Linked DNA regions of Mus musculus. The protein of the gene in region 2 interacts with the protein of the main gene of each other region in a biochemical or structural test. Links are inferred from orthologs where the notes say so. Each region holds a gene or a part of one and is shown on either strand. Other genes may lie near its edges. The genes, in order: Ubl7, Ubc, Mindy3, Usp13, Otub1, Ccdc50 and Mindy2.

The links.
Region 1: the proteins of Ubc (region 2) and Ubl7 form a complex in vitro, tested with the Homo sapiens proteins (6 studies listed by BioGRID, with this or other methods). The link is inferred for Mus musculus from reciprocal best matches to the Homo sapiens genes UBC and UBL7.
Region 3: the proteins of Ubc (region 2) and Mindy3 form a complex in vitro, tested with the Homo sapiens proteins (2 studies listed by BioGRID). The link is inferred for Mus musculus from reciprocal best matches to the Homo sapiens genes UBC and MINDY3.
Region 4: the proteins of Ubc (region 2) and Usp13 form a complex in vitro, tested with the Homo sapiens proteins (9 studies listed by BioGRID, with this or other methods). The link is inferred for Mus musculus from reciprocal best matches to the Homo sapiens genes UBC and USP13.
Region 5: of the proteins of Ubc (region 2) and Otub1, one has a biochemical effect on the other in vitro, tested with the Homo sapiens proteins (29 studies listed by BioGRID, with this or other methods). The link is inferred for Mus musculus from reciprocal best matches to the Homo sapiens genes UBC and OTUB1.
Region 6: the proteins of Ubc (region 2) and Ccdc50 form a complex in vitro, tested with the Homo sapiens proteins (5 studies listed by BioGRID). The link is inferred for Mus musculus from reciprocal best matches to the Homo sapiens genes UBC and CCDC50.
Region 7: the proteins of Ubc (region 2) and Mindy2 form a complex in vitro, tested with the Homo sapiens proteins (5 studies listed by BioGRID, with this or other methods). The link is inferred for Mus musculus from reciprocal best matches to the Homo sapiens genes UBC and MINDY2.

Annotation. Positions count from the first base shown.
Region 1 is NC_000075.6:57,909,777-57,913,785, forward strand, and holds the start of Ubl7 (ubiquitin-like protein 7), read left to right. Parts: upstream 1-1,209; 5' UTR 1,210-1,283; exon of another isoform or gene 1,284-1,506; intron 1,507-1,933; exon of another isoform or gene 1,934-2,049; intron 2,050-2,861; 5' UTR 2,862-2,890; coding exon 2,891-3,074; intron 3,075-4,009.
Region 2 is NC_000071.6:125,387,218-125,391,298, reverse strand, and holds the start of Ubc (polyubiquitin-C), read left to right. Parts: upstream 1-1,281; 5' UTR 1,282-1,389; intron 1,390-3,034; 5' UTR 3,035-3,037; coding exon 3,038-4,081.
Region 3 is NC_000068.7:12,402,461-12,405,960, forward strand, and holds part of Mindy3 (ubiquitin carboxyl-terminal hydrolase MINDY-3), read right to left. Parts: intron 3,461-3,500; coding exon 3,400-3,460; intron 1,709-3,399; coding exon 1,538-1,708; intron 1-1,537. UniProt on the Homo sapiens protein: Hydrolase that can remove 'Lys-48'-linked conjugated ubiquitin from proteins.
Region 4 is NC_000069.6:32,911,626-32,915,125, forward strand, and holds part of Usp13 (ubiquitin carboxyl-terminal hydrolase 13), read left to right. Parts: coding exon 1-36; intron 37-2,473; coding exon 2,474-2,596; exon of another isoform or gene 2,597-2,846; intron 2,847-3,255; exon of another isoform or gene 3,256-3,362; coding exon 3,363-3,389; intron 3,390-3,500. UniProt on the Homo sapiens protein: Deubiquitinase that mediates deubiquitination of target proteins such as BECN1, MITF, SKP2 and USP10 and is involved in various processes such as autophagy, endoplasmic reticulum-associated degradation (ERAD), cell cycle progression or DNA damage response.
Region 5 is NC_000085.6:7,203,485-7,207,590, forward strand, and holds the start of Otub1 (ubiquitin thioesterase OTUB1), read right to left. Parts: upstream 2,801-4,106; 5' UTR 2,776-2,800; coding exon 2,718-2,775; intron 968-2,717; coding exon 906-967; intron 673-905; coding exon 574-672; intron 1-573. UniProt on the Homo sapiens protein: Hydrolase that can specifically remove 'Lys-48'-linked conjugated ubiquitin from proteins and plays an important regulatory role at the level of protein turnover by preventing degradation.
Region 6 is NC_000082.6:27,387,456-27,391,755, reverse strand, and holds the start of Ccdc50 (coiled-coil domain-containing protein 50), read right to left. Parts: upstream 2,801-4,300; 5' UTR 2,668-2,800; coding exon 2,619-2,667; intron 1,850-2,618; exon of another isoform or gene 1,781-1,849; coding exon of another isoform or gene 1,768-1,780; intron 1-1,767.
Region 7 is NC_000075.6:70,654,375-70,658,626, forward strand, and holds the start of Mindy2 (ubiquitin carboxyl-terminal hydrolase MINDY-2), read right to left. Parts: upstream 2,801-4,252; 5' UTR 2,673-2,800; coding exon 1,899-2,672; intron 1-1,898. UniProt on the Homo sapiens protein: Hydrolase that can remove 'Lys-48'-linked conjugated ubiquitin from proteins. Binds to polyubiquitin chains of different linkage types, including 'Lys-6', 'Lys-11', 'Lys-29', 'Lys-33', 'Lys-48' and 'Lys-63'.

The DNA.
Region 1 (4,009 bases), on a different chromosome or scaffold from region 2:
ACTCAGAAATCTGCCTGACTCTGCCTCCTGAGTGCTGGGCTTAAAGGCGTGCGCCACCACGCCCGGCAAGAATACAACTTTTACACTTGTGTACACAGTAGCTATTATGAACTTTTTTTAAAAAAAAGATTTATTTATGTATTTTATACACTGTCACTGTCTTCAGACACACCAGAAGAGGGCACCGGATCCCATTATAGATGGCTGTGAGTCACCACTTGGTTGCTGGAAATTGAACTCAGGACCTCTGGAAGAGCACTCAGTGCTCTTAACTGCTGAGCCTTCTCTCCAGCCTGAACTTTATCTTTTAAAATTACATTTTTTTATTAGTGTGTGTGTGTGGTCAGTTTTGGGGAGTCAGTTCAATCCTTTCACCATTTGTTCCCGGGGAGGTCCTCAGGTTTGAATGCAAGTGCTTTTACCTGCTGAGCCATCTCACCCGTCCCTCAGCTTCACAGTTTTAAAGTTGGTTGTTTTTGGTTATTGTTTTCCTTAATTGTGGAACTTTCTGAGAAAAATCACTTCTCTCTTGAGTTTAGCTAACTCTAACTTTTGTGTAAACTCAATCCAATTTGATTGTGCATTAGTTTCTCAGCCATCTAAAACAGGCAGTGTCTCCACGAAAGTTCAGTGGAAATTCCCCTCCCCAAACTGATTCTACGAATGACTGTGTTATAAACCCCATTGTTGCATGTTCGCGGTGGGCCAGAAACCCGACTTAATCACTCCCCTTACGGACTCAACTTTTAGCGCCCTGGTGCGCTGCCACAAGGCAGGTTTCCTGGGAGAAAGGAGCAAGAAGCACAAGAGGCTGGCTACGTGGGAGAACTGCGTCTTCATCGGAAGGGCCGCGGGGCGCCTGTCCACTTAGGAACCCGTCCCCCTCGGAGAAGGCTCGCCCTCCGGCCTAGGACTCCTCCAAACCCGGGACAACCAACAGGCTTCACATATATCCCTGGAGAGCGCGGGAATCATCGGGCTATTGGCTGCTTTCGAAAATTCCACACTGAGTCTCCCTACCTCAGGTGGTGGTACAATTGTGTCTGACAGAAAGCTACAACCTACTGGCTTCTAGGACCTCAAACTGCTCGTGCTCGCACTCACGCCTCCTAGGACCCGGAAGCATTGCCACTAGCTGCTGGACGGCCATTTATAAGGGGCTGGGTCTCAGTGAAAACTATAGTCCCCAGAATGCAGCGCGGAGCTTCCGGTTTCCGGCAAGAGGACCAGAGTGAGTGTTTACACCGGCGGCTCGCTGCGGCCGGGTTCCTTCCGCGGGACGGGTGAGGGCGCTGGGCCCCCTCCCTGGGCGCGCGGGGCTCTCGTGGGTCCGGAGTAGCTAACTGGTCCCACGAGAGAGGTGGGGTTGTCAACATTGTCCCTACTCACGACTAGGTATCTGTGACCTTGGGCCAAGAGACTTCAGCTTTCTGAGTCTTTATTCCTGATCTGTAAAATAAGGACAATGATGCCAGTTTCAGGAGACAGTTGTGAGGATTGAAATCGGTATACAAAAACCTCCTTTCTCGCTTTAAACCTAAAGGTGGATAGTACCTTGAAGTCCGCTGGGTCGCACCACAGTTTTTTCTTAGCCTTGTCTTTACTGCAAGAGACCTCTTTGGCAGAAATAGTGTCTGTAACAAGGACTGGTCTTGCGGTACAAGGCTCTTGCACCCTTTGAATTTTTAGATTTATTTTGTGGGCATTCATATATGTCAGGCTGGGGACTGTGTTAGAAAAGCTCTAGTCTTGGCTTTCAAGAATGGGGGGGGTTTCACAAATATGAGGGACGCAATGAGAAGTTGAGAAGTAAATAAGTTGTACAAGGGAAAAAGCAGCAAAGAGAAGGTAGCTTTCTAAGTCTGGCATCTGGTAATGAAGCTGGCTGACTTGTCCTCAAATCTATTGATTTGTGTTGCTCTTTTGCCTTGAGGGAACAGGGAATGTGTGACCAAGAAGAGAGCATGGAACCGATGTGTTTGTGTGGGTCTTGGTAGGAGTTTGCTAAGAGGCCAAAAAGGGAAGAGAACTTATATGCAAAGACAGGAGGTGAGCAGAGTTACATATAGGGGACAACTTTGTTATGAAGTATACTTACGTGTGTTGTTATAAAGGGGCAGGGCTGGGTCTATTGAAGAAAGCTGGTAGGCGTCAGAATAAATGGGTTTGTAATCTGGCTGTGGAGTTAACACCCACCTGTTCATAGAAGTGCTTTGGGATTAATGGGGGCCTTCTAAGCAGTTAAGTTTGTTAGATCTGTGTTTTAACAATAAGACATTGGGTGGTGCTATAGATCTCTGATAAGGGCAGGCAAGAGAGACAAGGGCCCTCCTTAAAGTGTTGTTATAGCTAAATCAAAAGCTGGAGAAGAAAACCAGAAATGAGTGTGTAGAAGGGAGAGGGTTGGGTGATCTTGCTTGAACCTCACAACATTCCTATCCAACTGATTGGCCTTTTGTGTTTACTTTTTTTTTTTTTTTCTTTTGTTTTTTTGAGACAGGGTTTCTCTGTGTAGCCCTGGCTGTCCTGGAACTCACTTTGTAGATCAGGCTGGCCTTGAACTCAGAAATCCTCCTGCCTCTGCCTCCCAAGTGCTGGGATTAAAGGCGTGTGCCACCAATGCCCGGCTTTTGTGTTTACTTTAAAGGTGAAGAAACTGAGGCATAAGAGAAATCCCTTGTAGTCCACCAGAGAAAGAATTAAGGGAGGGACACTAGGTTCTAGTTCTAGCCTCTTAGTGCTACACCTATGTTTCTCTAGCAGTAGTACACTGAAATGATCTTTCCTTTATTCTTGTTGCAGGGAGAGATGAGTAGGGAGGTGGGTTGACTTTTAACCGTTAATGCCTTATTGTTTTACAGGGAGAAAGAGAGAGCGCGAAAGAGAGAGGATGTCTCTCTCAGACTGGCATCTGGCAGTGAAGCTGGCTGACCAGCCACTTGCTCCAAAATCTATTCTTCAGTTGCCAGAGACAGAACTGGGAGAATATTCCCTAGGGGGCTATAGCATTTCATTTCTGAAGCAGCTTATTGCTGGCAAGCTCCAGGAATCTGTTCCAGACCCGGAGCTGATCGGTGAGTCTTCATTGGCAGGAGCTGGGTTGCTGCTCTTGCCCCTGGGACAGGAGGTAAAAGGGCTTGTTGCCTCCTTCCAGAGTAAGTTTTACATGAGTGAAAACATAAAACATGACAAAACTGTTGTTTGTCACTTTAGTCTCATGTTACACTGAACTACGTTATTATTTAAGACTCTTCATTATGATGTTGTTGAAGTCTTTTGTCTGATCGAACAAAATTAGCAAAGACTTGCAGATGAGACAAGACTCCTCAATCTGTCACCTAAGACTTAAGGGATAATTAGAAGGATGTTTTTGTTTGTCTTGATGGCTGAATAAAGGGAAGGCCGCAAAATAGGAAATGAGGTTGGCAATGTACTCCTAGTGGAGGAAGGAAGAGCTTTCGTAGAGAACAGTCAGATTAGATTAGGAGCGAAATGTACGCTAGCCAAGGGTTCTCCCTGGTGAAGACATTCCTATCACAGGTGATCAGCTCCATCCTCTTTTTTCGGTTTTTCGAGACAGGGTTTCTCTGTGCAGTCCTGGCTGTCCTGGAACTCACTCTGTCCAGGCTGGCCTCGAACTCAGAAATCCGCCTGCCTCTACATCCCAAGTGCCACCACTGCCCGGCAGCTCCATCCTTTTTGATGTTATATTTTTCACATTTATGTGGAATCACTACTCTCTACAGGGTTGAGCTTTAGAGGTGTACTGTGCATATACTTCTTAAATAAGCATTTGTACTTGATAAAGTTGTTTAAAATGTTGGGGTTTTGTTTGTTTCAAGACAGGGTCTCACTTTGTAGCCCTGGCTGGCCCAAACTCACCACTTATCTCTGCTTATTGAGTGCTGGGATAAAAAGTGTGTGCCAGCACACCTAGTCAAAATGTCTTTTATTTATTTATTTATTTATTTATTTGGTTTATTTATTTATTTATTGTTTTTTTCGAGAC
Region 2 (4,081 bases):
CCATCTAAGTGTGTGCCACATGTATGTGAAAGTGTCCCTAGGGACATTGGACCCTCCTGAAGCTGGAGTCACAAGCTAGCTGCCTGACAGGGTTGCTGGGTATTGAATTCATGTACTCTGGAAAAAGACCTGTTCCTACTGGGGAGCCATCTCTCCCCATCAGGGATTCAATTCTTACCTTCTAAGGTCTTAGGCCTTACATTTCAAAAACCTGAGCTGGGCAGTGGTGGCGCAGGCCTTTAATCCCAGCACTTTGGAGGCAGAGGCAGGTGGATTTCTGAGTTCGGGGCCAGCCTGGTCTACAAAGTGAGTTCCAGGACAGTCAGGGCTACACAGAGAAACCCTGTCTCAAAAAACCAAAAAAAAAAAAACAAAACAAAACAAAACAAAAAAAACCCTGAATAATTTGATTCGTATAAGTGGGATATATGCTTGCTGTAATCTGAACATTGTACTACACGTGCACATTTGTGCTTTTTTGTTTTTGTGGGGGTTTTTTGTTTGGTTTTTGGTTTTTCAAGTCAAGTGTAGCCCTGGCCATTCTGGAACTTGATCTGTAGACCATACTTGGGAGGCAGAGGCAGGAGGACCTATATAAACTTGAGACCAGCCTGGTCTACATAGCATATTCCAGGACAGGCAGGGCTACACAGAGAAACCCCCATCTGAACAACAAAAATTTAAAAATCAGGGCTTCAGTGGGTTCAGTCTCAGAATATGAACAACAAATATGAACAACATTTGGAAATTTTGACCTTTACTTAGTGACAAGCACATAGAAAACATAGAACCTTCTCGAATCCAAGGACACAAGGTTTAGGAAAAATCTGGAAAGATCAGGTTCTGCTGGGCTTCAGATCTAATGCCAACAGTTTTCAAGAACTGTGTAGACTGTCTGCTTTCCTTGACAAACTCAGATTCGTTTTTCCAAATCGGGGAGAGATTCCCTCCTTCGTATTTTTTTTTTTTAAATTTATTAAAAACCCTTTGTCATTTTCCTTGTTAGGAGATTTGCACAGTCATCCACCCTGTCACTGTGCCAAAACAGTGAGGGCTGGGCATAGTGACCCGCCGGGGATGAGGGGATTGAGGAGGCGAGGTCACCAATGGGATCCCAGTGTGACAGGAGCCAAAGCCCTGGGTCCCCCTAGCGCGGAAAGAAAACAGGGGGGGTGGGGGGTGGTGGCCTGACTAGGGGCGCCAGGCCGCGAAGCCGCAGGGCGCCTGCGCCAAGGCCCGCTCCGGCCTCAGTGATCCCAGCCGTGTTTTCGTGCCGATCGTCTCACGCGCGCTGATCCCTCCGCGGAGTCGCCCGAGGTCACAGCCCTGCCCTCCCACACAAAGCCCCTCAATCTCTGGACGCCACCGTGAAACAACTCCGTGAGAGAGGTACCTTGATAGTTTTAGCCTGTCGCTTTCGCTGCCGAGACTGGACCCGGCGTTACAAAGTAGTCCCTGACCGCATTGCCCGCGGAGGGACCGCGCGGAAGGGGGGGGGCGGGGCTTCGGTGACTATATAAAGAGACGCCGGGCGTGCCGCAGCTAGTTCCGTGGAGACTGCGAGTTCCGTCTGCTGTGTGAGGACTGCCGCCACCACCGCTGGTGAGGAGAAAGCCGCCGCACCCGGTCGGGGACGGGAGGCTGGAGGCGAGACGGGGCGAGAGGCAGCCCCGCGGCCCAGACGTTTGGTTTCCGTGGCCCGCGCGGACCGCGGCTGCCCCGAGGCAGAGGACTGGGCGGCAAGATGGCGGCCAGATGGAAGCCTGAGGGGGAAGACGCGGGGCTCTGACGCGCAGGACGAGGTTGGGGGAGGAAAAAGGCCCGCGAGGCCGCTGCCCTCCGGTTAAGCCGGGGACGTCGGAGACTGTGGGGTGGGGACTGAATTAGGGTTGCGCGCCGTAGGAGCCTCTGCTGTGAGAGCCGTGGATATTGGGCTGGCCCGAGAGGTCGATTGGCCCGGCGTTCGTCCGTTCGTTTGCTGAAAGACGGAAGTGCGATCGAGACCGGAAGGGGGTTGGGCGGCGGTTCAGCCTGCCTGGCCTGCCGCCCCCTGTGACGTCGCGGGTTGCGTGGCCTCCTAATGGATAGTGACGTCACTATCTTGACTTTAGCTTTCCCTCGGTTGTAGGACAGGGTTTGGGTCTCGGCCTCCGGTAGCCTCTCCAGAGTAAACAGGAACCGGAAATTCAGAGGGGAAATGTGAGCCATTCTTGTCCTGTTTCGTTTTAAGAATGTCGCTGTACAACTATGACTACTGAAACTTTTGGGGGGGGGGTTCGAGACGGTTTCTCTATGTAGTCCTGGCTGTCCCGCATCTCACTCTGTAGATCAGGCTGGCCTCGAACCCAGAAATCCTCCTGCCTCTGCCTCCCAAGTGTTGGGACGAAAGGCACCACCATTGTCCTGCGACAAGGGTGTTTTTTTTTAAACTGTCAAAATCTCTGCCTCTACCACCCCATGTGATGAGGTCCAAGGCCAGTACCACCACTCCAGACTAATTTTAATCGTTCAGACAAAAGTTTGGTGTTCTTTTGGGGGAAGGAGAGTTGAGGCAGGATTACACTGTCTCTGGCTGACCTTCCAGTTAGAGATCTGCCCACCTCAGTGTCCCCAGTGCTGAGGTCAGCGATAGGCATGGGCTCAGACTTAGTTTTGCAGTAGTAACTTGCTATATTACCATTCTGAAACTGAATCCGGGACTGCTGTGGTTTCATAACCTCCCAGAGGTCAGGCTTTTCTGCAAACTGTTCAAATAGACAGAAATTGACTTTCAGCTGTTGGTATACTGAAGTCTCCATCCTGTAAATTTGGTAATACAAAAAGACTCACCATGCCGAGGTTTCTTAACTTTGTTAGTCAACAATCTTATTTTCTTGATGGTTTTTCGGGGTGGGGGGATTGGATTCAAGACAGAATCTGTGTAGATAGACCTTGCTATTTAGACTTATAGCATCCAGTTGACAAATGTTGATGCCATCCCACAAATATTTGTGTCATTCCTGACCTGTGAATTGTTTTGTATATTTTGTGACAGACGATGCAGATCTTTGTGAAAACCTTAACTGGTAAGACCATCACCCTGGAGGTCGAGCCCAGTGACACCATTGAGAATGTCAAGGCAAAGATCCAGGACAAGGAGGGCATCCCCCCTGACCAGCAGAGGCTGATCTTTGCAGGCAAGCAGCTGGAAGATGGCCGCACCCTGTCAGACTACAACATCCAGAAAGAGTCCACCCTGCACCTGGTCCTTCGCCTCAGAGGTGGCATGCAGATCTTTGTGAAGACCCTGACAGGCAAGACCATCACCCTGGAGGTCGAGCCCAGTGACACCATAGAGAATGTCAAGGCAAAGATCCAGGACAAGGAGGGCATCCCCCCTGACCAGCAGAGGCTGATCTTTGCAGGCAAGCAGCTGGAAGATGGCCGCACCCTGTCAGACTACAACATCCAGAAAGAGTCCACCCTGCACCTGGTCCTTCGCCTCAGAGGTGGGATGCAGATCTTTGTGAAGACCCTGACAGGCAAGACCATCACCCTGGAGGTCGAGCCCAGTGACACCATAGAGAATGTCAAGGCAAAGATCCAGGACAAGGAGGGCATCCCCCCTGACCAGCAGAGGCTGATCTTTGCAGGCAAGCAGCTGGAAGATGGCCGCACCCTGTCAGACTACAACATCCAGAAAGAGTCCACCCTGCACCTGGTCCTTCGCCTCAGAGGTGGCATGCAGATCTTTGTGAAGACCCTGACAGGCAAGACCATCACCCTGGAGGTCGAGCCCAGTGACACCATTGAGAATGTCAAGGCAAAGATCCAGGACAAGGAGGGCATCCCCCCTGACCAGCAGAGGCTGATCTTTGCAGGCAAGCAGCTGGAAGATGGCCGCACCCTGTCAGACTACAACATCCAGAAAGAGTCCACCCTGCACTTAGTCCTTCGCCTCAGAGGTGGGATGCAGATCTTTGTGAAGACCCTGACAGGCAAAACCATCACCCTGGAGGTCGAGCCCAGTGACACCATTGAGAATGTCAAGGCAAAGATCCAGGACAAGGAGGGCATCCCCCCTGACCAGCAGAGGCTGATC
Region 3 (3,500 bases), on a different chromosome or scaffold from region 2:
ATTCTCAGTTAATAAAATGTTTTAACTATATATGAAGTTAAAAACATATTTCAAGTATGGTTTTATGTCATGTGTATTTTTAAAATGAGGCACTAAGTAAACTAGAAAATCCTACATCACTTTGTTTTGGAGGAGGGCTCAATCTATCATGCCCACATAGCTAACAGTGTGCTATGACGCCCTTCCTCCTAGAGCTTGCCAACGTGTTAGCACAGAAATGCACCACCACTCCAGAGTAAGCATATGGTATGCATGTGCTAAGGTAATGCTAAATATAACACGAATGTAAAATGCTAAATGAGTGTAAACACTTTGAATGGTTTAAGTGTCCCTTTCTCAATATGTAGTATCTCAAAAGGAGTTAATAGCATGCTTACAAGCCACACAGTACAATTTACAAACATTTAAAAATGAGTCTAAATGATGCTTTATTATCATTCTTTTGAATAGCTTCCATTTGTCTTTAAATGTCATTATCAATTCCAAAATGAATTCTTTTCGAAAGGCAATATTTTAAAGGTCTGAAAAGAAACACTACACAACTGTTTAAATTTTTAAAATTATTTCTGGCAAATGTGTTATTAAAATTTGCCAAGCACAAGCTGTTCTAATTGTAGAGGAAGGGGAAAAAATGGACAGTGAACACAGACATTTCAGCTCAGGGGAGGCAACACTGTCAGTAGACAGTTCTATATGGATAGTGATACATAACACACACAATCAATATTTACTTCCTAATGCCTAGTATCTGTCTTTTACAGAATCAATTTGATATAGAAGGTAGTGAGTATGTTCCAGTATATATGGAATAAAGTACACTTGGGAACTAATAATTCCCCAAAGTCACCTAACTAGCAAGATTAGTCCTCCAAAGCAAACCAAAGAGCAACTCCTTCTATTTTCCCTACCACCAGAAGTCGTTAATTTACTCGTTCATTTTGGCAGTGTTTAGGCCACTTTTAAGAATGTTCAAGTGTGTAATTTTTATGAATGAGAGTAGGTATTATTTGTATTATTTAAAATAAAGAAACTGCAGTCAAGATGTGGAGAACTTAAAACATAAGTAAAACGAAACTAAAACTACTTTAGTCCAAATATATAACAATGTTCAAAAGGATCAGGAACAAAATAACAGTGTTTAATTAAGAAAATATCTCCACTGTTGTTCTAAAACAGAGCTGAGGATATTTAAGCATTGATGGTGAGAAAGCTCCTCTCATCTAAAGAACACTGTGCACCTGAACTACTGCATGCAGATGTATTTCCCACAGACTTTTAAAATCAAAGTTGTAATACTAAAAGATTTCATCAAGCAGAAGTTAGCTACAATTATTTTTAAAATGCTTAAGAGACAGATGTAACTCCTTTTGTAAAAATGCACTGTCTTACACTAAATAAAATAATGGAAAAGAGATAGAAAATATTAACTTAGAGAAAGTGTTATCAAAACATAAAATATTTTTTCTTCAAAATTTTCAATAGATTTATTAAAACAAAAGAACAAGAAATTACTTCATGAAATAAAAACGTATCTTACAAGAATGTTCCACTTGGCAACTAGACTGTGCAGGACTCCCAGAAATCCTAGCCGCTTCCTCGGGGGTCCTTCCTCTCAACCATGAAACCAAGCAGTATGATCCAGAGCTGTCATAAGCACTCTCTACAATATCACACAAGGTGTGACAAAGGAGCTCCTTCTGCTCTTCCTCTAAAAATAACCAAAGTATGAGTTACAATGCTTTGTCTGGAAAAGAAAATCGAGTCATGAGAAACAGTAAGAAGGCCTCGGCTTAATAATGAAAATCAAGTGTTTTCTGAGAATAAGGAAAACCCATATGACCAGAAGACTGGAAATTACTCTTTAGAAGAACAATGTGCCTAAAGATTAAAATGTTATCACCTTAAATCCTGGCACCAGTTAGAAGAAGACTGAAAAGTGCAGAACTTAATTAACATCATGAGAAATCATCATCTCACCTTCAGCACTCAGCACTCAGCTCCCTCTACTGCAGAGTCCAAAGAAAGGAGCAACAGGGCCCCCGGGACCTGTTCTCCTCATCTGCTGAATTCCGCCTGACCAGCTTACAGGAATAACAGCAAGGCGACAAGACACCATCAGCACACAAACCACAGGCCATTACTGAGCAGAAGCAACCACCTCTATGCTGCATAAAGCAGGAGCCTTACACCACTCCACAGTATGCCGAGCACTGGTGCTCTTTTCAAAGGCACAAACAAGGCCATTTCCTCCAGAACCTGGGCAGCCCTCCGCCCTCTTTCAAGCAGTGCCCGCTTTCCAGTGCACTATCACACTCACACTTCCAAATGAAACTAGTGTAACACATCCTACATCACATGTTACAGTCAGCAATGGTTCCAGTCACTTGACATCACAGCCTTCATGACCTTATGAGAATGTTTTTCAAATTTGTCAAAGAGACTGTATTTTTGAGGAAGAAATGTTTTCAGCAATTAAAAGTCATGGTGATAATAGACTCTCAAAGTTTCTTTACTGAACTCGTGAATTAGATATTCATACTAAATATATGACCAGAATTCCGTTAACTCCTCAGTTCAGAATCTTGAGGAGATTCTATGGTCATGGGTTAGAAGGAAAGCTATTATGTTCTTACACACAAAGCTGGCACTGTAATCTCCTGCCTTCTTCTAGAAGTGACTGTGAGGCTCACAAGGAATTCTGCAACTGAGGAAGGTCTTTGTAAACTGCCAAGTGGAATGCAAATGTTTGTCATCAGGTGGCATCCCGTATCAGTATTACTCAAGCTGCAGAAACTCTGATAGTTTATTCTGCAAACTTTCAGTGTTCCCATTTAATAATGCATTATAATAAAAGATAAAAGAGTAAAACAAGAATGCTGAGCTCTTCATCACAACTCAATAAGGCAAAAAAAGAAAACAGGAGGGATGGGGTAGGAAGCCACCAGCAACACACAGGCATGGTGGTGCAGAAGGTAATCCTAGCAACAAGTAGTTAAACTAGAAGGATCGCAAGGCTGGGGCTAGCCTGGCCTACACAGTGCGTGCCAGGCTAGCCTTGTTATATAGTGAGTTCCTGTCACACAAACACCAGAGCAAAGAGGTTTTAATTATGGATATATAATCATCTAAAGGTTAAGAGAAACAGCCATTTAAGCAAGAGGCCTTATTACTATAATACTCTGTCTTCTGTCCCTTATTAAGAAAAATCTGAAAAAGAACATTTTAAAACAAAGTCTGTTTTATTAAACTTTTTGAAACATCTGAGAAATAATATTCCATCAATTGTTCCCCAGTGAAGACAGACTTTTAAGAAAATGAATTACTAGCAATAAGTGTGACTTAGATGAGGTGTAAAAGAGAAGCCGGAGGGAGGAGAGAGTTTGAAGGCAGCTAGCATACCTGAGCAATCCCGCCAGGACGACTTCTCGGAGGAGAACAGAAGCTTCTTCAAAAGAAACGCCTTTACACAATTAAAGCGACAGTTAGAATGCATGGTAGTC
Region 4 (3,500 bases), on a different chromosome or scaffold from region 2:
TCACTTTTGGTCTTGACTGGGTTCCCAGAAAATTTGGTAGGTATCCTTTGCATGCTTTCGCTTAAACTATAGAGTGAGCCACCTAACCAGACATGGCATGTGAAAGAGGCTGTGGGAACGTCTGCCCCGTCCCTTCCACCCCATTGTTTCCTCTGTTACTCCCAGGTTTCTCTGGACCCAGAATCTAGGAGAAACACTACCATAAGAAACACCATATGCTAACCACACCCTCACCACTGAGCTCTGGGAGGATCAGGTTCTCAGAGGGGAAGTACACTCCTTGCGACAGCGCATCTCAGAAGTTACTGTGCACACAGGTCACCTGGGATCTTTGGAAAATGCAGATCCTGATTGGCAGGTGTAGGTGGGCTGAGCGACCATGTTTCTAACCTACCGCATGGTGTTGGCATTGACAGTCCAGACGCCACACTTGTAGTAGTAGGTAGCTGGAGGTATAACTTCCTCTTAGCACCCTTCCCTGCCTCTGAGATACAGCAGTACTATATGTATGTGATATTCATCTAAATCATACACATTTTCCTCCCAACCACTTGGAAACATTGGATTTGGACAGTTGATAGAAGGATGTGGTTTGGGCTTCACTGGCTGCCTTTTCATCAATACTCAAGGTCCTTGGTCAGTGTGGGAGGCCCATTTTCCAGATAAGGCATAAAGACCATTTCCTTAGCCACCAGGGTTGAATGTGAGCAGTCTTAAGTGACCTCCAGGCTTGTGCAAGGATTTGCATCTCACTCCGTGTAGCTTCTCTAGCAAGGACTTCAAACTGCCAGTCTCTTACAGACTTGTTTTTGGGCACTTACACAACAAAACGATGAAAGCCTTAAGAGTCATCCAAACACGGGTAGAAGGGGACCTGGAGACAGAAGGAAGAACAGCCAGCATGATTTCTGAGGAGGCCTGGTGCTGGTGGGCACAGAGTGCCAGTTTATCACCCTTTGTGCTGAGCTATTCCCAGTGCCCAGGAGACCCTTGATTTTCTTGCTGGGAGAGTTTAGGGAGCAGAGGGGGTCTGAGGGCAGGGTGCTGACCACTCTGTTCTCCACTGGCCTCTGAGAAGGTTGAGATACTTGAGAATTTTGACCCATTCAGGCTTTGGATTGCTGTGGACGGGGTTTTTGGTTTGTTTGTTTGCTTGCTTTTCCTTTTGAATTTTTGTGAAGGAACAAAAAGGAAGCCGGATTTTATTGACCAAGGTTTAAAGGAATCTCAAGGTAGGGCCTGGATTTTTCTCTTAAGGAACAGTTGTGTCCGTTTTGTGAATCTGACCTTGTGTTTAGTTTTACTGGTCCTTAAAATTTAACTCTTCTGTCTTAGCTTTTGTTCTTGGGTTATTGTTTCATTTATTTGTTTAGTTGTTTTTTTTTTTTTTTTTTTGAGACAGGATCTTATGTAGCCAAGGGTAGCCTTGAATTCACCTGTGCAGATGAGGGTAGCCTTGAACTTCTGATCTTCCTGCTTCCATTTCCCAAGTTCTATGTTTACAGGCATGTGCTACCATGCCCAACCTGCCTTGTTGTCTTAAATAGGATTTACATATTTGGCGTCATTTGGAGGCAGTTGGTCTCCAGGTCTGAAGGACAAAGCTAAGTTGTACTTAGACTCATTTCTATTCCTAGTTGCATAGGTTGCAGCACTGCCTTGCAGCAGCTGTTAGGCTTATAAATCTTGCATTTGAGCAAGTCGAATGTAGTGGCAACTGAGGCATGAGGGCTTTATTTTTCTCCCAGAGCAGCCACGGATGCTTAAGACACTTAAGGTTCAGCCAGGTTCTTTTGAGCTTTGTGATTTATAACTTAGCATCATCACAGTCACTGTCACCATTCGAGAAAAAGTATCAATTAGGATTTTCGAACTCAGATGTGCAAGGAAGGGGAAGCAGCACCCAGGAAAGGAGAGCTGCTGGGTAAAGGGTACACGAGCCACCCTCTCGGAGGGTTCCGCTGTGCCTTACGACATGGGTTAGGAAGATGTGCTTTTCCATAAGCATGCTGTTCATGTTTGGGGCAGTTCAGAGCAGTGGCATCAGTGTGAAATGGTCACAGCAGCCACCATTGTCCAGAACGGAAGCTGAGGGGAAGCTCAGACAGTTAACACAGGAGAATGTGCTATAGCTTTGTGGTATTTGAAATCCAGAAGTCTGCATTTTAACATTAAATCTGTCCATATCTCAAGAACACCAAATGGAATGAGTCTGGGCCACAGATAGCCTGGGCTGCCGGTCTGTGATCTCTGGCTCACCTGACCTGTTGCTGTCCAGTCTGGCACCTCTGTCCCACCACTCTCTGCCCTTCCCCTGAGCCCTCCAATAACCTCCCATGTGGCTTGACAAGTCTGCTGTGCTGAGTGTCCCGTAGGCTGGCTACATACATGCATGCAGTGAGCACAAGCAGATTTATAATGATCTGACCGAGGGCGCGGGAGAGTCCAGTGAATATGATCTTTTGTTTTGCAGATGTTTCTATTGATATGCCAGACCTACTAGATATCAGCCATCTCAGAGCCAGGGGCTTGCAGCCAGGGGAAGAGGAGCTTCCTGACATCAGCCCCCCCATAGTCATTCCTGATGACTCAAAAGGTACCATCGCCTACTGCAGTGGTTCTCAACCTGTGGGTCGCGACCCTTGGTGGTGGGGGCGTTGAATGACCCTTTCACAGGGATCACATGTCATATATCCTGCACATCAGATATTTACATTGCAATTCATGGCAGTAGCAAAATTGCAGTTGTGGAGTAGCAACGAGAATAGTTTTGTCGTTGGGGGGGTCACCACAAGAGGGTCATAGCATCAAGAAGGTTGAGAACCACTGCCCAGTTGGAAGGACACTCTCTCCTCCACCAGCCTGGAACAGTCACTGTGTTTTGCCACCAATCTGCTTCCCGTGAGGTCATCCTAGACACATAGGAATGAAACCTGGCTGCCACTGTGAACTTGAGACACGTACACTCTGTGACGACGTCACTGATTTGGAGTCCTGTCGGCAGGTGGTTCCAGAGGGGGCTTGCAGACAGGCGATACTGAGCGTGAGAGAAGGCCAAGGTGGTTTTCCACACTGCTCCTATCAATAAAGCTCAGGCAGAACCCTTGATTTGCAGTTAGACAGTGCTCTTACAAATACATGCAAGGATCGTAATTATTTAGCTCACCGAGCTGTCAGAACTTCCTGTTTTATTTGCATCTAAGTGCCCAAAGCCTGCTGTTTCCCCTCATTATTGTAATGAACTGTGTTTTGCAGGTGGTGTGTGTGGGGTAACCAGGAGTGAGAGGGTCTGGGAATCTCTTATCTAAAACTGTTGGCCATGGTTAGCTCGCTCTCACTTTTGACTGTCCCTTCATTTCCAGACCGCTTGATGAACCAGTTGATAGACCGTAGGTATCTTTTAAAATGCTTTTTGTGTCTTACATCTGTTGCCAGTGTGCCATGTTTTAAAAACTTACATATATATGAGTGGCTTGCTGCATGTCTGTGCACTAGGTGAA
Region 5 (4,106 bases), on a different chromosome or scaffold from region 2:
CACCATTTCTTAACTCTTCAGGCTGCCTACTAAATACTGTTTCATCCCAGGGTCACAGTTCAAGCTCCGCTGCTCCCAGCTTTTGGGCTTACTGGGAAAGAAGCTTGCCTCAGTTTGAGTGATGCAGCAGAGACACACAGAAGAAGCCTGTTCTCCGCAAAGATCAAAGTAGACAGACTACAGGACAGGTCTCTGTGACCAATCTACCCATCCCAACACCAGCAAGTTTGGCCCCTGGCAGGCTACTGAGTTGTCAGTGCCCGCCCAGCCTGCACCTGGTCCCACCTGAGCATCACCTACCTCAACCTTACAGCCACCCTACAGGCAGATGCTTTCACTGTCCCTATTTTACAGATGAGGACACCCAGGGCTCAGAGACACTGAAGGACCTGTCAAGAAGACAGCTGCTGAGTGGTAATCTGATATGAATGAGGTCTCAGTCCAGAGGCCACACTTCAAGAACTAGCAATAGGAGGTGTGTCCCCGCCCAACACCCGACCCTCTCAGACATTAGGCCTGACAAGAAGCAGGGCTGAAACAGGCTCCCTCCTGCCCCTCTGGCCAGGATCCCACCTTGATCTTCTGTTGGTAGATGTTGTCATCCTCAGCATACTCCTTGTACAGGACTGAGAGTTCCAGCCGCTCTGACACCAGAGGATTCTGCACAGCAATCTGCAGGGAGGCAGGAGACTGAGGAAGCCACGCCTAACACCTACAAACGGGGTGGTGGCCATCCAGCAGCACAGCAACCCCACAAAAGCATAGAGTGCCTAAAGTAGACTCAGAGACTTGAGAGACTCGAGAGGGGAGGGCTTCAAAACAGACACTAGGTCTCAGGCCCTGACTATGCATCCCCACCACAAAGCCCTCAGCTACTCCCTCCCCAACTTTCTTCGGCACCTCACCTCTTGCTGAATTCGGTCCTGCTGAGCCATAATGGCTTCATCATAGGCCAAACAGTTAACACCTAGAAAAAGGAGAAAAAAGAAGTGCCAACCAAGGGTTCCTATGGGGTCTGGCTATCTCTATGGCAGGCAGCTTTGGCAGAACAGGTCTGGAATCTGGAACCCTATGCCTTACACCCCACTGTGTATTCTTAGCAAAGTTCTTCCTTCTTTGAGTTCTCATTTCCTCATCTTTTGGAGAAAGTAGCTAAGTGTGGTGTCATTTGGGAGGCTGAGGCAGGAAGACCACAAGTCTATATAGCTAATCTCTAAAAAAATAAAAGTAAACAAGGGAGCAATTACAGACCAGAGCAGGATTAAGAAGCCTAGGAGTTAGAGATCAGCTCTGGAAATATAGCAAGCCTTTATCTTGGAAGAAAAAAAAAATAGGGCTGGGCTTGAGACCCAGTGGTAAAGATATATTTGTCCTGCAGGTGTGAAGCCCTAGCAACCTCAAGAAATAAGTAAATATAAATATAAATAAATAAGTAAAATGACAAGTAAAGATCACCCCCAAAGCTCTCTTGCAGCCCCGATATTCCTTCCTCCCTGCCTTCTAAAAGCACTGTGTAGCATCTAGGGAATGCTCTGGGGAAGGGAGCTCTGGGAGAAAGCAGGATGAAGGGGTGGAGCCCTAGGAAGAATGAGTGCATCCTGTAAGCATGCACTTTACTGAGACACGCCCTTTGTCCTTCTGTGGTCCCCTGTATTGTTCATTTTCCAAATTAAAAAACAAAAAACAAAAACCAGAGGTAACTCCATCTTGTCCAAGGTCAAGTCCACATTTGTAAAATTCCAGTCTGAGCTCTTGGACATGTCACTTGCCAAAGTCCTCTCCCCTCACCTCTAGAATGGATTAATGCCATCACCTTGCTCCCATCATCAAAATATGCTGGGATCCTGCCAGCAGCAACTACTACCTAAGCACTCTCTAGAGTCATCCACGGATTCGGGACGTTCGTTCTGAGGACTCTAAGCAGCTATTGTAGGAGTTTCTAGTCTTGGATCCTTCTTAGATGTGATGGAGAACAATTTCTTTCTGCGTATCTGGGTTTCCTAGTCCTCAACCTCTAGAATATAGTGTGGAGTTAGAGTAGGGTGTGCGAGTATGACTGGCTTTTTAAAGCCAATCCTTTGGGGCCTGGTTATCCTAGGTTCTCAGCTGAGCTTCCCACCATGTCCTACAACAGGACTGTCCCTCCCACTCAACAGACTTACTCAACCCCTAGAGCTCAAGTTCTCGGGAGACAGGGAGAAGGTGTGACTGGTTTCTGTCTTTTTTTAAAGACCAAGAATCTAGGAAAACAATGCCTGGATCCGCTCAAAGGTGCTGTAAGGCCAGCACAAGCTCTAAGGCAAAGAGCCGCCAATGGCATCCCGAACGGCCCAGCAGGGACTTCGTCCTTGGAAGCCCGGCGTTCCTCAACGCCTTTCAGCAGCTCGGCCCCGGCCTAGGCCTCGGCTTGACTGCTAGGTCTCCGGCGGGCTGACTGTGGGAGCCGGCCGAGGCCACGGGACCGGCGGAGGCGGGGCGGCCCAGGCCCCGCCCCAGGCGTGCGCGAGAGGCCGAGCCCCGGCCCCGGCCGCCCCGCCCGGCCGGGGGTCGCCGCGGCCCTGCTTCCATTGTGAGGGGGAGGGGAGGAGACGCGGGGAAGGGCTCGGTCGCACGCTGCGCCTACTCCCCAGGGCCCTGACTCCCCGAGTTCCTCGGGAACGGCGGGCCGTGGATTGCCCCCGCTAGCCCGGGAAGGACATCCTTCCCTCCGTTCGTACCTTCGGAGTCGCTACCCAGTGGCTCCTGCTTCTGCTGCTGAGGTTCCTCCGCCGCCATCTTTAAACAGCGCCGCACTGGCGATCGCTTCCGGGTTATTAATTGCCCTCCTCCCGGAAGGGAGCCCCTCCTTGTGGCCCCTCCTTCGCAACGCCCCTAGCAACAGGCTCCCTTTGGCAGTCGTCAGGGCCTGGGCTGCTCCTGCTGCCCTGGAGAGCTTGGGGGGACGCCACGCGCGCTTCCACATTCCACTTTCCCAAAGGTCCTGCGGGGCTAAGGACCTCCTCGAGTCATTTCTGTTTTCTGTATACTGAAGTTTGAAACGCAGGTTGTGTAACTAAGATAAGGAACAAGATGGAATTAAAGTCACTAGAAGGTTAATCCCAGCTGCGCGTACTTTCAAGGTACAGGACGGTAGCTGCAGTGCGGAGCGCAGAGCCACCTCGAGACAGGAAGTGGTGACAACCTCCTGACGCCCTTCGGAGCCTTCGCGGCCTCTCGCCTCTCACCACTGAGCCTGTTCTCTAAAGCTGTAAAGACCTGTTTCCAGCACGGGGAGCATCTTCCCTTGATACCAAAACCAAAACCCTCGACCTAACTTTAGGCTATATGTCCTCGTATTTGAGAAAGCAGAGCCACTTAAAAGCAAGAATTTGAGTCCATAATCCGAACATGTGAAAGGTGGAGAAAGAATGGAGGATCCGGCGTTCAAGGTAATCGTGGAGTTTCAGGCAAGGCTTGGCTACAAGAGACCCTGTCTCAAACAGACCAGACCAAACCAAACAAAACCTGAGCCAAAAAGTGGCCATCTTTGCTAATTTTTGCCGAAGCTACCCATTTTCTTTGAGTTATGTCTCCATTCTGAGAAATGGACATTCCCATTTGCAGGCCCTGTGTACCCTGAAAAGCAAACACCAGAGCGTTTGCAGGAAAAGGCATTTACTTCTTGGTAGCCTGGCTATAGCCATCACTGAGCCACACAGATTCCTTTTACCCTCCAGAATATCAGTTCTCTGTCCTTACTAGTCCCAACTCCAGCTCCTGTATGGTCGGTCTACCAGTCCAGGTAACTGGAGGCCAGGGTGGAAAGCACTCTTAAAGATTTAGAAAAATCAGGCCGGGCTGTGGTGACCCATGTCTTTAATCCCAGCACTTGGGAGGCAGAGGCAGGAGGATTTCTGAGTTCGAGGCCAGCCTGGTCTACAGAGTGAGCTCCAGGACAGCCAGGGCTACACAGAGAAACCCTGTCTTGAAAAACCAAAAAAATTTTAGAAAAATCAAGTACAGACTAGGCATGGTAATTCCAGCACTAGGGAGGCATGTGGATCTCTGAGTAGAGGTCAGCCTGGTCTACACAGTGAGTTTCAGACTCACAGACTACATAGAGAAAC
Region 6 (4,300 bases), on a different chromosome or scaffold from region 2:
CAAAACAAGACTTGGAGAATTGTGAAATGAAAAGGGGGGGGGGGTGTGGAGACTGATAGAGAAAATAACTATTTCCTTTACAAAAAATATATGGAGGTTCCAAACATATTTTGATTAGGAAATAGGGGTGTACTGACATTTAAATGGCATTTAAATGACATTTAAACTCTTTTCACTTGTATAAACTCAGTTTTGTTGTCTCCAAATTTGTTATTTTCGAAAGTATACACTTCTTAATTGTGTATGTTTGAAGGGTCTTCTCAATGAAGCTCTGCCCTCCATACAAACCAAAGAGGCAAGCATTTCATGTTAACCTAGGGAAGAAGACTGTGAAGTAGTCCTGTTCCCTGCCATCTGTTTTTGATACACCAAATATCAAAGCAGCCTTCCCTCTCTTAAAGACAGGGCAGTGAGACAGGACACACAGCCCCATTCTTCTCAGTCTCTGTTATAATCTACCCCATGATGTCAACTGTAACCTGCAGAAATCTACCAAAGTTTAAATTCAGAAGAAAAGTGGAAAACACAAGAAGTAGTGTTTGCGTTTTTAATGAGGCTCAAATATCTGAGCCAAAACTTTAAACAAAGTGCTGCTAAGTTGCTTGGACTTAGCTGAGGGCTTCAGGACTACTCAGTGTCAGAACACGCTCTGCTTCTTCACTGGTATCTTCCGGTTCTCTTTAATTAGAGGAAAGATTGTTAGGTGGTAACTGGGCCATAATTTAAAATTATATGAGAGAGATGCAAGTTATTAGGCTTGAATACTTCCCAGATCAAATTCTCGCCACTCTGGGGACTCTCCTAGTAAACCCATCATGGCCTTTGATGGTCTCAGAGCCAGGCACTGGTAAGGACGATGATCCCAACAGCTTTTGACCTCCTTCAAAGTGAGCATGTGACAAATTCTAAATTTAACAAAGACACATGGAAGAGCCACACTAAATGTCCCTGTCATCTCATCGGAGTCCCTAGACAGGATTGCCAAGCACGGCACCACAATATCCAGAATGAAAACCAAAGTAAACATAGGAAAACTTGTAGAGCTGGGGGGTGAAAAAGACTCTTGCAGGCCTAGATGGAAAGTGGGGAACTCCTTGAGAAATAAGATATTAGCACAAGTTAGGCATGTCTCGGTTAAAAAAAAAAAAAAAATGAAAAGACCTCAGGGTTTCAAAGCGTACACAAAAAAGTTCTTTCCAGGTCACTAGCACAGGTGGAAGGCTGGGGAAGTCACAGCACCTCAACACTGAAGCTTTGCACCTCAGGTCAGGTTTTGTTTGAACTCCAGTATCAGCAACACCCACCATCAATGAAAGTACTACCAAGGGAGCACTTTGTCTTCAGACAAAACCAACACCTTTGCGCACAAAACCCATATCCAAAAGCAAGAGGGGAGCTCTACAGCTGGCCTCCAGGTGAAGAACCGATATGTCTTCCCAGTGGCTCCTTAGACTCCATTAACTAAAAACTGTAATAACCAAAGTCAAGTTAGGGACAGAAACGATGGAAAAATACCAAGACCAAAAGCTCAGCCTGAAGGCATTATTACTCTTTAGAAACAATGGAGTAGATCCAAACCTACTACAATTTAAACATAAAATCATTGACTCCTAGCCACGGTGCTTCTCTGAAACCCTAGGACAGATGCAGCCAAGTAGTCACTAATTGTCTTGGGATTTCCAAATTGGCCAGAGCGAGACCATCTGAGTCACTTGAAATTGGCAATGAAGCCTAAAGTCTCAAGAAAGGAAAAACTCCTTCACTTACACAACACACACATCCCAGTCCCAGACCGTGTTGGCCACAGATCTCTGGTGAAACAAAAGAGATCCACAACAAAGACCCCCCCCCCACCCCCCTCAGAACTTATGGCTTTAAGAGAGAGCACTCTTGAACGTTCTAGGTGTTGTCATAATGGAAGTCCAGTGCTTCCCAAGAAGGGAAAGACAGAGTGACAAGAAGATGAGCCAGTAACCAAAACAATAAAAATGCTAGGCCCCGGGGAGGGGAGGAGAGATGAAGTAAGCTAGGCCTGGCCAGTACTAGTCAATCTTATTTTCCTGGACTTCAATATAGCAGCCATGGGGGGCAACGGGGGTAACAGGATCACAAGCTCCCACCCACTCCAGCCTGGTCTTTATTAAAATGGAAGTGGGGAGATCATCTTTATAGGGGCTTGAGGTCCACCATTCAAAGCAATGCCAACCCTAAGATTTTCAACATTTTTGAAGCTAAGAGCCAGCCAGACACTAGACTAGGAAGAAGAAGTGGGAGAAGGGAGGAAGGGAGAGAGGAGGGAAAGAAAGGAGGAGGGAGGTAGAGGATAGAAAAGAAAAGAAGGAGGGAGAAGAGAGGAACAGAAGGAGAAGAGGAGGGAGAGGGTCATGTTTCAAAACAAAGGCTCCACTCCACTCGGAACGCCACCCCCTGGCCTGGGCCAGCCTGGAAGGGCTGGGATTTCTACATCAAGCGTCCACAGGGCAGAACAAGGCCGCGCGGCCAGGCGAGGGCCTCCCGCAGCCGCTGGCGGACCGAGCCAGCCCGCGGCGCTCCTAGCCCGCCCCGCGCCGCGTGCCCCGCGCAGCCCGGCTCCCCGGAGCCCGCGAGTCCCGACCTACCTTCCTTCACGCCCGGCAACTTGGACTGATCTACACTCACGTCGGCCATGGCGGCCGCTGGGCCTCGGGCGCGCGGAGATCACGGCGCACGCCCACCCCGCGGGCTGGCCCGGGTGGACGCCGGACTCTCCCGGGCCGGAAATGCACCGGAGTCCAGTACGGAGGGAGAGAGGTGCCAGAAAGGCGGCGGCGGCGGCGGCGGGGGGCGGGGGCTGCAAGGCTGCACCGCACGCAGAGGCGTGCGAGCCAGACCGCCTCCCCTCGCCTATGTGCCTGCCGCGCCCAGCCCAGGCCACAGCTCTGCGGCCTGAAGGCCGGGACCCCAAGGCTGCACCTGCCAGCTAGGCGCCGCCGGGACAGAGCCTATCTGCGCTCCACTCTGAGATTTAAGACTTGTGTAAAGTGCTTATTGAGTGCCAGGCACCACAAATCCTTATATCTGGGATTAGTGGGCATATACATACATACTTACAAACATACATACATACATACATACATACATACATACATACATACATGTGTGTGTGTGTGTGTGTGTGTGTGTGTGTGTGTGTGTGTGCTTTATATTTCTTTTTTTGTTTTGTTTTTTTGTTTTTAAAGAAACCAGAATACAAGACACTGAATTAAATTCTGGGCCCTTCTGGAAACGGAATATTCACAACCAGCAGGGAGAACTGAGTCACTCAATCAACAAAAAACTATAAATGTCTACCAGATCGGATGTTCAGTTTCGGGGGTGGAGGGATTGTGACAGAGACTTGTATGGGCTTCCCCTTCCAGCATGCCACTCACTGGTCTATAATTCTGACATTTGTGTTTCTCTGAAATGAGCGACTTTTCGCGTTTCATCCTATGGATCAGTACAGATTCATGCTCCTTTAGGAACTGTCTCTTCCCCTAAAGGAAACATTCCAGTCCTAAACTGGGTTTTCACTAATCTTATCTTTCAGTCCATTAGTCCACAAACCATGCATATTTATCAAAGAATGGGTGTGAGATCAAAACCGGTGGAGCAGAATACCTCCCTAGGCTTGCTACATAAAGGGTAGAGTAGCAAATTAGTATCTGTTTCCTGAGTGGGCGGCCACTCTCACTAGCAGACAATGAAACTAAACTGAAGATAAGCAAAGATAGGAGAAGGCGGAGAAGAGGGCAGTTTCTGATGGAAACACAGTAGCAAAGCACAGTTCCTCCTCAGAGTTAAGCTTGTTGGCAGGATCATTGAACTCTGGAATGTCAGCCCAACATCTTGTCAAAGTTCAACGTGTCACTTCAGCCACTGGCTTAAACTGGCTTCCCATCTCAGCTCAGACTCCTAGTGTGAGAGGTCAGGAGGAAGTGGTATGATTTTTAACTTGACACTAAAATTGGTTAGCAAAAACTAAGATGTAAATGAGAGCAAAAATTAGATCAGAAGTTGGCAAGCTGCTACCCACAGGCCAAACCCAGCCCGCTGAAACCCCGTGACTGTATTTGTTTAAATATTACATTTTAAATTATTTTTAATATGAGTCATTTAAATTTTGCCTTTTAAGCCCAAAATCTAAAGTACTATCAAACCCTTACAAGAAAATTTTGCACAGCCCTGTCAGAGATAGAGAGCACTCCATAAACAAAGTGTGAAGAAGGAAGGTATAGCAAAGTGGCTTTAGGGGTATTTATAAATGTCCTGCCATATATGG
Region 7 (4,252 bases), on a different chromosome or scaffold from region 2:
CCCCAGCCCCCCCCCCAACCACCACATAATTTTTTACTTCCTTAGACTATGAGCCCTGTTCATGTCGCTCTACAATTACTCCTTATGTCTGCCTCTTTACCATATACTGAGCTACTGAAGGGCTGATGCACTCTACTGTCTTTGCATGTATAATGTCTTCCACAAAGCCAGAACCCAAACATGTGGTCACACAATTGGGATCTGCCTTTCAGAGTCAATTCAAGGCTCATATATCCTCAAAGTAATCCAGGCCATGGTGACTGCTCCGCCTACTGTGAATGTGGGTGGCACCATTCCATGGGCTGCAGGCTTGGACTAAATAAAAAGGAGGAATCAAACTGAGCAGTCGTCTCTCTGCTCCCTGACTATGAATGCAATGTGACCAGTGGTCTCAAGTGCCAGCTTCCATGGCTTCCCCGACTAATGGTCTGTACCCTCAAACTGTGAGCGAAAATAAACCCTACCTTAAGTTGCTTTTGTCAGGTATTTTGTTACAGCACTGAGAAAAGTAACTATGCCAGAAAACTGGTACTCAGGAATGGAGCCTTTGCAATGATAAACCTGACAATGTAACTCTTAGACATCTTGAACTGGTTTGTGGGAAGAATGTGGAAAAGTTTGGAACTCTCTGCTAGAAAAGCCCTCGAATGCTTTAAGCAGAGGTTAATCAAAATAATCTTCCAACTCATTAGCATGCATGCTTACTTCTTAACAGACTAATCCAGATGACTGGAACCCAGATGATTCCATCAGGAGCCCCGGATACCCAACTTAGTGCTGCAAGATTTGGTGTTGGAATCTCTCCCTCACTATCCATCATAGTTCTTCATAACTGGTTAGCATAATTCAAACTATTCTTCTTCTAGGGAGCATTTTAACTATAAGTGGAATCATCAATTTGAAAACAGGTGCTGAGATGCATCCTCTCAAAACCCAGATACTGCAAGCTTAAATATGACACTATATTCTGAGGCCTCAATACACTTGCCCTTCCCTTCCTGTTCTCCAAGACCTTAGATTTATCATTCCTTATTTTAGTTGTTAATAGTTTTAGCTTCCTTAACAAACATTCTAATGTACAGTTACTAGTAAAAATGCCAAACCTTTGAAGTAGAGTCAAAGAAACAAGGAAAGTAAAAACAAAAACAAAAAATCATACACAAGATGAAAATACTGTCTTTGGAAACAAGTAATTTATGGTAAGTAGGCTCAGACCAATGCTTTTCCTTAAATGGAATTTGTCTAAAAAGTTGTATCTTTCCCATCACTGTTCTTTCATGCATCCACACCACAGTGGGACAAACAGCCTTTTCCAGAAAACACGCAGATAAAATCATTAAAACTTACTCCATAATATAAGATTGATAGTAACTGAAGATCAATCACTGTTTCCAATTTTCACTGTTTTGCATATGTAATAATGTCAGTAAGGAATAATATAGGCAAATATAGCTAAAAATACTCAGAAGATGTAAGTGCAGGGTGCTCTGGATTCTGCTTGTTTATAGGTAAACCATCAGTTACAACCTTTAACCGAATGTTGAATTTTTAATACAAAAAAGACCTTAAGTTGGGGGCAATTCTTCCTGACATGTTGCCACATGAATAATCTTTCAATAAAGAAATCCTGGAATTAATTTCATGTAATAAGAGACTGTTAGATATAGGGGTGCATGTCTGTAAACCTAGCACTCTAGAGGCTGTAGCATTAAGATCTTAAACTGTTCGAGGACAGTTTAAGCTACACAGACAAACCTTGTCTCAAAAAAAAAAAAAAAAAAAAAGGAGGAGTCTGATGAATGGAAGGAAGCCATCAGCTGACAAACAGCAGTTTCCTCACCCCATTTTGCCCCTCCCCACCCCACAAGCTGTAGGAAGTAGAAAGCTGCAGAGTGTACCTTCCAGGCGAGAAGCAAAACATTGAGGATGGCCAGCAAAGGGCAGGGTCCATTCTCATTCTGGGTGATGATGGGCGTGTTCTCCTCTTTCCACTGGATCCATTTGATGTGATACACCGACTGTCCGGGAAAGCGTTCTTTGGAGGCCGCTAGCACCTGAGCCGGGTCCTCCTCCTCCTCTTTGCATAGAGGTGCAGCCCTGGGCGGCCCCGCCGCGCCCTCCTCCACGTCCTCGGGGACCCTGGTCTCTGCTCCCTCCTCACTATTGAACTCAGAGCTACTGGGGAAAGAATGCAGGTTGGAGAAAGACTCCAGGGAGTCCAAGCTGGGCGAGTCCCCAGGGGGGCTCGGCTCGCTGCAGCTGCTGCTCGGGGCGCCGGTGCTGCTGGGCTCTTCCGCCGCCTGCTCCACCCTGCAGGTGCCCGTGTCGCCCACTGGCCCCGACCCTCGGCCCGCCGCGGCCTCGGCCAGCTCCGGGGAGGCGGTCACCTTGTGCTGCCCTCTTGAAGGCACCTCCGAGGCGGCAGGGCTCGACGACGCGCCGTCCTTCAAGTCCGAGCCCGCGCCGCATCCGAGCTGCGAGGGGGACGTCGGGTCCCCGAGGCTGCTCCGCGCTGCCGCCGCCGCCGCCCCCTGCCCGCCGCTGTCCACCGCGCGTCCAGCGGGACCATCCTCAGCCTCGCGCCCGCCGCGCCGTCGCCCTTCCGGCGGCGACACTCGCCCGGCCGCCACCCCTAGTTCCAGAGGCTGTGGGCTGTCAGGGCTGTTCTCCATCCCCGGCCGCCCGCCCCTGGTCCTATAGACACCGCGGCCGGCTCTCCTCAGCAAGCGCCTCCGACGCCATGACAGCCGCTCTGTAGCAGCTCCAGCGCCCTAGCGCGGCCTCGGCCAGGCACGTCACCGTAGAGGGCGGCGGGAGCGCGCGCGCGTGCCCCCGCCCGCCCGCTCGGAGCGTGCCTCCGCGTGACTGCGCTCGTTGAAGCGCCCGGACCCACTCGGGGAGCGCTTCTCCCCCGAGGCCACGCCCCTCCCGCGCGTTCAGGCTAGGGAAGGCAGAGCGAGGCCAGGGGCGTGGCTGAGGGCGTGGTCAGGGGCGCGGCTCGGAGAGCCGCAGCGCCACTAGGAAAATAATCTTGTGTGTGCTGCCGGAAGTTGAACTCCGGGGCATCCCCGCTGCGCGCGGTTACTTTAAAGGCAGTGGCTGAGGCTTGTAGGGAGTGTGGTCTACTTTGGGCTTGAGCCTGGTGGACCCCGAAAGTGGTAGTAGCATTGGAAGACAGCCATTCCCTGAAGGCCTCGGGAGAGCTGGCTTTTTCTTTTCTTTTTTTTTTTTTTTAGCTTTTAATGTTGAGAATTGGAAGCATTTCTTAGGAAATGCAAATTTGAAAGGCGAGTTCTGTTGGAGGCTTTTGGAAGACTGCGCAGTACAGGGACAACTCTCCCTGGGTTTTGGCTGAGAATCGCTGCGCTCCCAACCAGCTACTGGTTTGCCTTGCCGGAGGTTCAATGAGGTTGTGGATATTGGCCTACGCCCCAGGCGAGAGGGTAAATTTGGTCCAATAATAATAAATCAGTTTGCGTTTGAAGCAAGCCAAGTCTTTGCGGTTCTGTTCACTTGGCTTCTCTTTGCACAGAGTGGGAAGCTTCTGCTTCCCGAAAAAATGACTTTTAAAATTAGAATTGACTTCTCATCAGGGCTTGACATCTGCATAGAGGATGGACAGAGTTGCCTGCAACTTTTTTTTTCTATTTATTTACTTACTTATTTATTGGCAAGAGTGGATATAGATCATCTAACCTGCTCTGGAAAAGTGGGGTGTTTTTTTTTTTTTTTTTTTGGTTTTTTTGTTTTTTGGTTTTTTGTTTTTTTTGTTTTTTTTTTTTTTCCTGGACCCTTCCCTCTTCAAAGTTGTCTGAGAATATAAAAATGAACAAGACAGGTGGGTCTTCCTTTAGTATCAGGTATACAAATATATGGTGCATCATGGATTGTTACACTTCTGTCCTGCTACTGGTTAGAAAAGTAGACAAATTAATGCATTATTTTGCTCATTCATGTGTTAGCACCAAGCATGTTACTGAATACTGTGTTTCACACTAAAAATATCACTATTATCTTCTCAGAAATGATGATCTCTTTCTCGGCACTCTCTTCGACTTCTCCCTCTTTCTTCCCACCTCCAACTCTCTCCTCCCTTCCTTTCTTTTCTTCCCCCCCCTTTCCTTTTTTTTTTTTTTTTTTTTTTTTTTTTTTTTTTTTTAGGGCTGGGGCTCAATTCATGTATGACAAACACTCTACAGAGCCCTCTACTACTTTGCTTATCTTATTTCACTTTTGTTTTTTGAGACAGAGT